Arabidopsis thaliana: one gene and its partner. The protein of the gene in region 1 interacts with the protein of each later gene in a pairwise test. Each region holds a gene or a part of one and is shown in the gene's direction. Other genes may lie near its edges.

Region 1 (3,757 bases):
GAAATTGGCGGTTAATGAAGACAATTTTGGCGGCGAGTTTTTGAACAGAACAAGTGAACTGATGTTCAGTAAGGGACGACGTCAAGCGTTGCATTTTACAAACGCAGCGACCAATGCGGCATATCTACTTTGTTCTATATCCAACCATATGTTGTATTATAATATATTTTAGGTCTAGATTGATCCAAGCTAAAATTTTGGATTCTTTTTTAAGATAGGACAAAATAATTATTGCCCTATCTTTTACGTAGCATAAGAAATGTACATATATAGATGTATATGCAAAACCTAATACAAAAAAGTATATTTTCCACATCCAAGATAAATTATTGCGTCTCATCTATCACAATGTGAACAAAAATAATTATTTTCTTCTCTTAGTTACTATGAGTTCACAATATAATACTTTTCTTTAGGTTAAAGCTCTCAACTGTTGATGAAGTACAAGAACTCAAAATTGTGAATGAAAAAAAGGGACATCATCCAATATCAGGCGTGTACATATTAGCATTGTTGTGTATCTTTTTATATTATAGTCCATTAGTCCTAATCGATAGATGTATTTTTTTTTGTTTTATTAGTTATAAAAACAGACATCTATTATTAATTTGTTATGGTTAATTGGTTATTGTATATTATTATAGTAGAAGTGACGTGAGGTACCAACGTATTAGATTATAAATATAAATAATGGCCAAAGACAAAGCCATTTGTCAAAACTTCAACGTCATTATAACCTGTAAGATTAAAAATGAACAATAAGAAATCATATTTAGCAAAAAAAAAAAAAAAAAACAATAAGAATCATTTGTCAAATCTTCAACATCGTTACAGTGTATAATTTATATTTTGATTTTTTGTTCTAAATGATCAAAGTTCATATATAAAGTTATTTATATGCTCAAATTTAATCATCGAATATATATACAATTTGTCTATGTTATTTGTCAAAGACAACGTCAGCAATAGTTCCATATACTCTCTTTTTCTTTCGGAGTCTTTATATTACTCACGGAGATATTAAATTATATTTATTTTTTCACTGAGATATTTTTTTTTTTTTGGTTTAATGTTAATAAACTCACTGAGATATTAATTAATACATGCAATCTTTATCTATATTTCCCATTTTTATTTGTAAATGTGTCCCTTCTCGTGTTATGCGAGGGTCTTTTTTTAACTTTTTAATTTCTCATTTGGAAGCTTTCATCTATAAATATATGCACTAGCTTATTCTATATATAACATAAAACCGAAAAAAGGTTTTGTTCACGATGTGGATTCTCTGTTCACGAGAGGTTTTGTTGAAAAAGAAAGAAAGAAAATAATTCAACTTGAATTTGGAAGTTTGGTTACAGATCACATCATTCGACAATAAAAATAAAGACATATATAACAATTAGAACAGTAACTAATTTGAATTTCAGCTTCGATTTCTTACGAATCACATGGGGTCAATAAGGGTGGGGCTAGAAAAACACGTACGTTTGGAGACCAATGTGTGTATCATTCCTGCATGCGCATCAGATGTGTTTCACTCTTCAGAAAAACGTTTATTTTATTTTGCATGTCACAGTCGTAGCTAATTATCCGTACGCATCTTAATTACGACTCCATTTTACACACCAATTTATGGATATATAATTCAGACAAGATGAGTTCTCGTTTAATTTTACTTCTTTCCATTTGTGGAAGTTCATATACTATTGTGAAAATTTGAAAATAACTGGTGAAAGAGGAAACGTCCATATTTGTGGGCTCTATTTATAATAATAACAACAATATTAATTGTTTAGGTAAAAATTAACAGAACTATTTTGAATTACAATCGGAAAAAGGTTTGCGTCAAAAAAGTATTGATGAACCATGCATTTGATATAAGCATTTATGTTTGTTCAATTTACTATTAAGCAATTAAGTCGAATTTTATCGAATCATTTTAATTTTTACCTTTAACATTTCTGTGATCTTGAAATCTTTAAATTAACAATGTGAGTTATATACACTAGAGAAAAATAATTGCATTCCACTGAAAACCTCAACATCTTGGGAAATTTAAACTTAATCAAAGACATCGCAAATGTTGCTTATCTTTTTATCAAGCCCAGCCCACATATTCGCGGCCCCAAAGCCCAAAGGTTAAGCTGACTCGTTACAAAATAAATAAGTATTAATAAAGGTTTTTGATTGGCTTATTTCGGTTTAAATTTAATACCATATCTTTCGGAAGATCACGTGAGACACATGTGACATCCAACGAATAGCCAATCGCTGAAAAGTGAAGACTTTTTGTTACCCCATAAACAAAAGCATCATCTCTCTCTCATCTTTTATTTTTCTTTTAGAAACCAAACTTTTCAGATTTCTCTCTCTCCATTTGGCGATAGAAGAAGTCATGTACCAATCATCATCCTCCACGTCATCATCATCGCAGAGATCATCGCTTCCCGGCGGCGGAGGACTGATCCGTTACGGCTCAGCTCCGGGATCGTTTCTAAACTCTGTGGTTGACGAAGTCATCGGAGGAGGCTCATCAAACGCTCGTGACTTCACCGGCTATCAACCGTCGTCGGATAACTTCATCGGTAACTTTTTCACCGGAGCTGCTGACTCATCCTCGCTGAGATCCGATTCGACGACTTGTGGAGTCAACAACTCATCCGACGGACAGAAACAGCTAGGCAATAACAATAATAATAATAGTAATAAAGATATCTTCCTCGACAGATCCTACGGTGGATTCAACGAGATCTCGCAACAACACAAGAGCAACGACATCGGAGGAGGAAACAGCTCAGGATCTTACTCTCTCGCTAGACAACGTAGCTCTCCCGCCGATTTCTTCACCTACCTCGCCTCAGATAAAAACAGTTAGTCCTTTTTTTACTCAAGAATAGTAACTGTGATGAGATATATATATTTAGACAGACAAGTTTACTCATTTTCAGACCATTTTTCCTTAGAATTTGCCAAAAATCGTAATGTAGAATATGAGCTATATAGTTTTCAGTCATTCAATCATTCATTGCTCAACTAAAGATCCGTTTTTTGGTGAAATGAAAATCTAACCACGAGGGTATTTTCGGTATTTCTCACTGTGAAGTATCTAGTTTCTTACAAGTTAATTAACGACTATGTATATAAAATAAGTTGACATTGTGAGCTTTGATATTTAGGGTCGTTGCTAAATTAGCTTGGTTGGTACTTGTGCAAGACGTGATCCTCGTATTTTCGGAATGACGAAAATACCATTTGATCCCTAACCACGTGCTTGAAAATACAGCAAAAATGTGGCTCGGTTACCCTTAATTTGGGATATTATTTAAATCTTCGAGGATTCCTATATCTCAAGTTGCATTTATTTATTTAGAGGATGGATTTTTTCGTTGATGACCAATAGTTTCTCTGCTGAGATGGCGAAATATCATTGGTTGTGATGAAGATTATTCAAATAGAAAGCGATGTAGATCTAGTTGGTGGATCTGATCTGTCCACTTTTATATTATTTTTTCCTTGGTCCTGATGATTCGTGCTTTGCTTCGTTGTTATCTAATCATAATATCTTCCACCAAGCCTGGATGTGACTTCCCACACCTAACCGGTCACCGGCCTGAACCGGAATTCAACTATCCATATTATCCAAAAATCCCTCTTTATTTACTTACATTATATGGTTTCTAATATTTTGGATGTGAATGTGAATTATTTTTAAAAATAATTTTCACGTAATGTCATTATAATATAGTTTACTTTGTAA
Region 2 (3,757 bases), on another chromosome or scaffold:
AGATGCAATGTTGATTTCCGGTGTCAACAACTGCCAACATTCATCCTCTAAGTGTTAATATTCAGTCTCCAAATCCTCAATATTCGATGTAGTATTTCAATGCAGATCCCATCTCCTCGTGAAGTAGTCAAACATCTCTTAACATTCTAACATTAAATTGAAATCATTTAGTAATATTTGATATTTTTTCTTCTTTTCTTTGACACTGCCAATTACGATTTATGAGCAGGACTTAAGATTGCATATACAATCAAATGAAAGATGGAGTCACATCACAAGAATAAAAAGATCAATGATCAAATGAAAGATTTTAGTTTTCAGGGGATTTTGCATCTTTCAATGTTTTCGATTGTATCTTCCGGAGAAAAAAGAATCAGAGATCGTAATTCACACACGAACACGTTCGACTTAAGAAATGTTGATTACAAATTTTCACGATGCAAAACTGATTTATATTTAATTGAATCAAAGAAGAATCATTTTGAGATACAAAGAACAACAAAAGCCAAACCAATCTGGTAGTAGCAAATCAAACCAAGGTGACATACAACAACATTCAAAATACTTTCACAAATTTAATTAATCATCAAACGGTGACAACAGCTTCTTTCTCTTCTTGTTTACTCTCCTCCTTTACTGGTTCAGCCTCAGCTTTTACTGGTTCAGCCTCAGCCTTTACTGGTTCAGCTTCAGCCTTTTTCTCCGCTTCCACTGCAACCTCAACCTTTTCGGGTGCAGCTACGGCAACCGCCTCCACCTTTGCTTCAGCGTTTTCTGTTGCAGCGTTCTCCACTTTCTCAGGTGCAACTACTGCAGCCTCACCAGCATCAGCAGAAGAAGACTCTTCGACGGCTGCAACCTCTGGTTGAACAGCAGGAGTTGTTTCCTTGGTCGGCTCGACCGGAAATGTCTCCTTAGCTTCGACAGAAGTTGTTTCAGTGGTCTCAGCCACTGTCTGGTTCTGTTTCTCACCGCTTTCTGTGTTGTTCTCCTGTATTAATTAATCATACCAAAAGATCATAACCGGTTAAGCCCGGTTCGGTAACAAAACCTAATTAAATTTTCATATTTAAAACCTAGAGATTAATTGTTACCTTGGCTACTACGTTTTCAGAGACAGGCTTGTTAGGAACAGAGCCTTCTTCGTTTTGCATGTCTGATTCCTTGGGTCTACTCGCACAGCCACCCATTATTATATATTTTTTTGGTTTTTGTGATTTTGGGTTGGGTTTAGGCTGTGGAGTGTGCAAAAAAAATTTACACAAACTTTTTTATTTTTCTCTTCTTTTTTATTAATGTTGACCCGAGGATTGAGCAAATGAAGAGAACATAATCATGGTTATATAGATGAAGATGATTCCGATTTTTATGGAGAGCCTTTGGTATTTTTTCTTGTGTGTGTTGAAGTATTCAAATTGGGGATGGCTAAGAATAGAGTTTAGCAGAGAGGTAAGAGTAAATTTAGATAGATGTTTCTCTGTATTTGAAAAGCTTCATTGATATCGTCAAACTTTTGGAAGTTTTGTGGACCTCTCTCGTCTCTTGTTGCTAGCTCTATTTTTAGCCGGTCCTAGCTCCAGAATTTTAATTCGATTTTTTGAATTTTGTAACTTGCAAAGATAAGAGGATTACGCCGTGTAAACGATGATGAATATCCTAATGATTATGCAGCTTTTTACTAATACATAATTTCATGAAAGAAGTTTTGATTAGGTTTCCAAAAGTCAAAGAAAGCGAAAAAATCTAAATAAATTAAAAAAGACAAGTTTCCAAAAGTCAAGAAAAGCGTAACACCATCCCAAAAACAAAGTGACATGCACCGAAACTTCCATTCCTTTCCACGTGTCATTACATCATTCGTTCTATGACATTTCTCATCACCTTCTTTTACAACAGTCATTCACTTCTCGCTTTTACCCCTGCATCTAGTTAATATCCCAAAGTCGCTCAAGGGCAAAACCATACTTTAACAATTTCCAAACCGCGTAACGTACTTGGTTTGCCGCGTGTACACACCACGCGCTGCCATCACCATATAGAACTCACAAAAGGAAAGAAAAAACCAAATCAAAGCTCACATCTGCCTTCTTCTTCACTTTACCAAAATCATCGAATCCATTTTTAGGGTTTTTGTTTTCTCTCTAAATTTTTATTGTTATCTTCTTCGCGATACCTTGGAATCGCATCTCTGAGATAGATAAATAATTCTGATTCGTATCTTTAAATCTTGGGTTCTTCTTCTTCTCGCGATTCGTTTAAAAGAGCAGCATCAATGAATCAGAATCTTCATGTATTATCAATGGATTCGTTACCAGTTGGATTAAGATTCCGTCCAACAGACGAGGAGCTAATCCGTTACTATCTCCGTAGGAAAATCAACGGTCACGATGACGACGTCAAAGCTATCCGTGAGATCGATATTTGCAAATGGGAACCTTGGGATTTACCTGGTACTTACTTACTTACTTCTTCATCTCTTTATTCATAAATTTACACTTTTTCTATAGATCCTCTTTGATTTCTCTGGCATTATGTTGAATTGAGAAATGGTAGAACTTAAAATTTGTAGCTTTAGTTTCTATGGTGAAGAAAGTTAATAACTTTAAACCGATCATATGTGTTTGATATAGTTTAGTTTTGGGTATGTGGTTATATCTCTGTTAAGGTGTAGTGTAAGTGACTGAAATTTGATTAAAAGATGTGATTTTTTTTTGTTGTAGATTTTTCTGTGATCAAAACTAAAGACTCAGAGTGGCTCTACTTCTGTCCATTGGATCGGAAGTATCCGAGTGGAAGTAGACAGAACCGGGCAACAGTTGCAGGGTACTGGAAAGCCACAGGAAAAGACCGGAAGATAAAATCCGGTAAGACTAACATTATTGGTGTGAAGAGAACTCTAGTTTTCCACGCGGGTAGAGCTCCTAGGGGGACACGAACCAATTGGATTATTCATGAGTATCGTGCCACGGAGGATGATCTTAGTGGTACCAATCCTGGCCAGGTAAATAATGCATACTTTTAGATGTGTAACCATTGGAAAACTAAATTTGGCTCTGTAGCTTATTGTGTGCTTGTGTTGATATATATATATGCAGAGTCCGTTTGTTATATGCAAATTGTTCAAGAAAGAAGAACTGGTTTTAGGGGAAGAAGATTCGAAGTCAGATGAAGTTGAAGAACCTGCTGTCTCGTCTCCAACTGTCGAAGTGACTAAGTCAGAAGTATCTGAGGTAATTAAAACAGAAGACGTGAAGCGTCATGACATAGCAGAATCTTCTCTTGTAATCTCTGGAGATTCTCATAGTGATGCTTGTGATGAGGCTACAACCGCAGAGGTGAGGACATTGAAAAATTCTCTTAGACAGTTTTTAGATGATTGTCTCTAGTGTCTGTTTGAATACTAATGATGTTTATTTTCGGCATGCAGCTTGTAGATTTTAAATGGTATCCGGAATTGGAGTCCTTAGATTTCACGCTGTTCTCTCCATTACACTCTCAAGTCCAATCTGAGCTTGGATCCTCTTACAACACATTCCAGCCTGGCTCGAGTAATTTTTCAGGGAACAACAACAACAGCTTCCAAATCCAGACTCAGTATGGTACAAATGAAGTAGATACGTATATATCTGATTTTCTTGATTCGATTCTCAAGAGCCCAGACGAGGATCCAGAGAAGCACAAGTATGTTTTGCAAAGTGGTTTTGATGTTGTAGCACCAGATCAGGTACATGAAGATTCCTCAAAACTCATTATATCA

The links. Proteins that work in one complex are often made in the same cells at the same time.
Region 2: the proteins of AT1G05805 (region 1) and NAC062 interact in a two-hybrid assay, tested with the Arabidopsis thaliana proteins (one large-scale study listed by BioGRID).

What each region holds. Positions count from the first base shown.
Region 1 is NC_003070.9:1,742,448-1,746,204, forward strand, and holds the start of AT1G05805 (basic helix-loop-helix (bHLH) DNA-binding superfamily protein), read left to right. Parts: upstream 1-1,996; 5' UTR 1,997-2,395; coding exon 2,396-2,870; intron 2,871-3,757. Other genes in the region: DGL (alpha/beta-Hydrolases superfamily protein), read left to right, coding at 1-172.
Region 2 is NC_003074.8:18,363,233-18,366,989, reverse strand, and holds the start of NAC062 (NAC domain containing protein 62), read left to right. Parts: upstream 1-2,030; 5' UTR 2,031-2,272; coding exon 2,273-2,450; intron 2,451-2,720; coding exon 2,721-3,001; intron 3,002-3,095; coding exon 3,096-3,335; intron 3,336-3,427; coding exon 3,428-3,724; intron 3,725-3,757. Other genes in the region: AT3G49540 (uncharacterized protein), read right to left, coding at 587-991, 1,095-1,190. UniProt on the Arabidopsis thaliana protein: Transcriptional activator activated by proteolytic cleavage through regulated intramembrane proteolysis (RIP). Transcriptional activator involved in response to cold stress.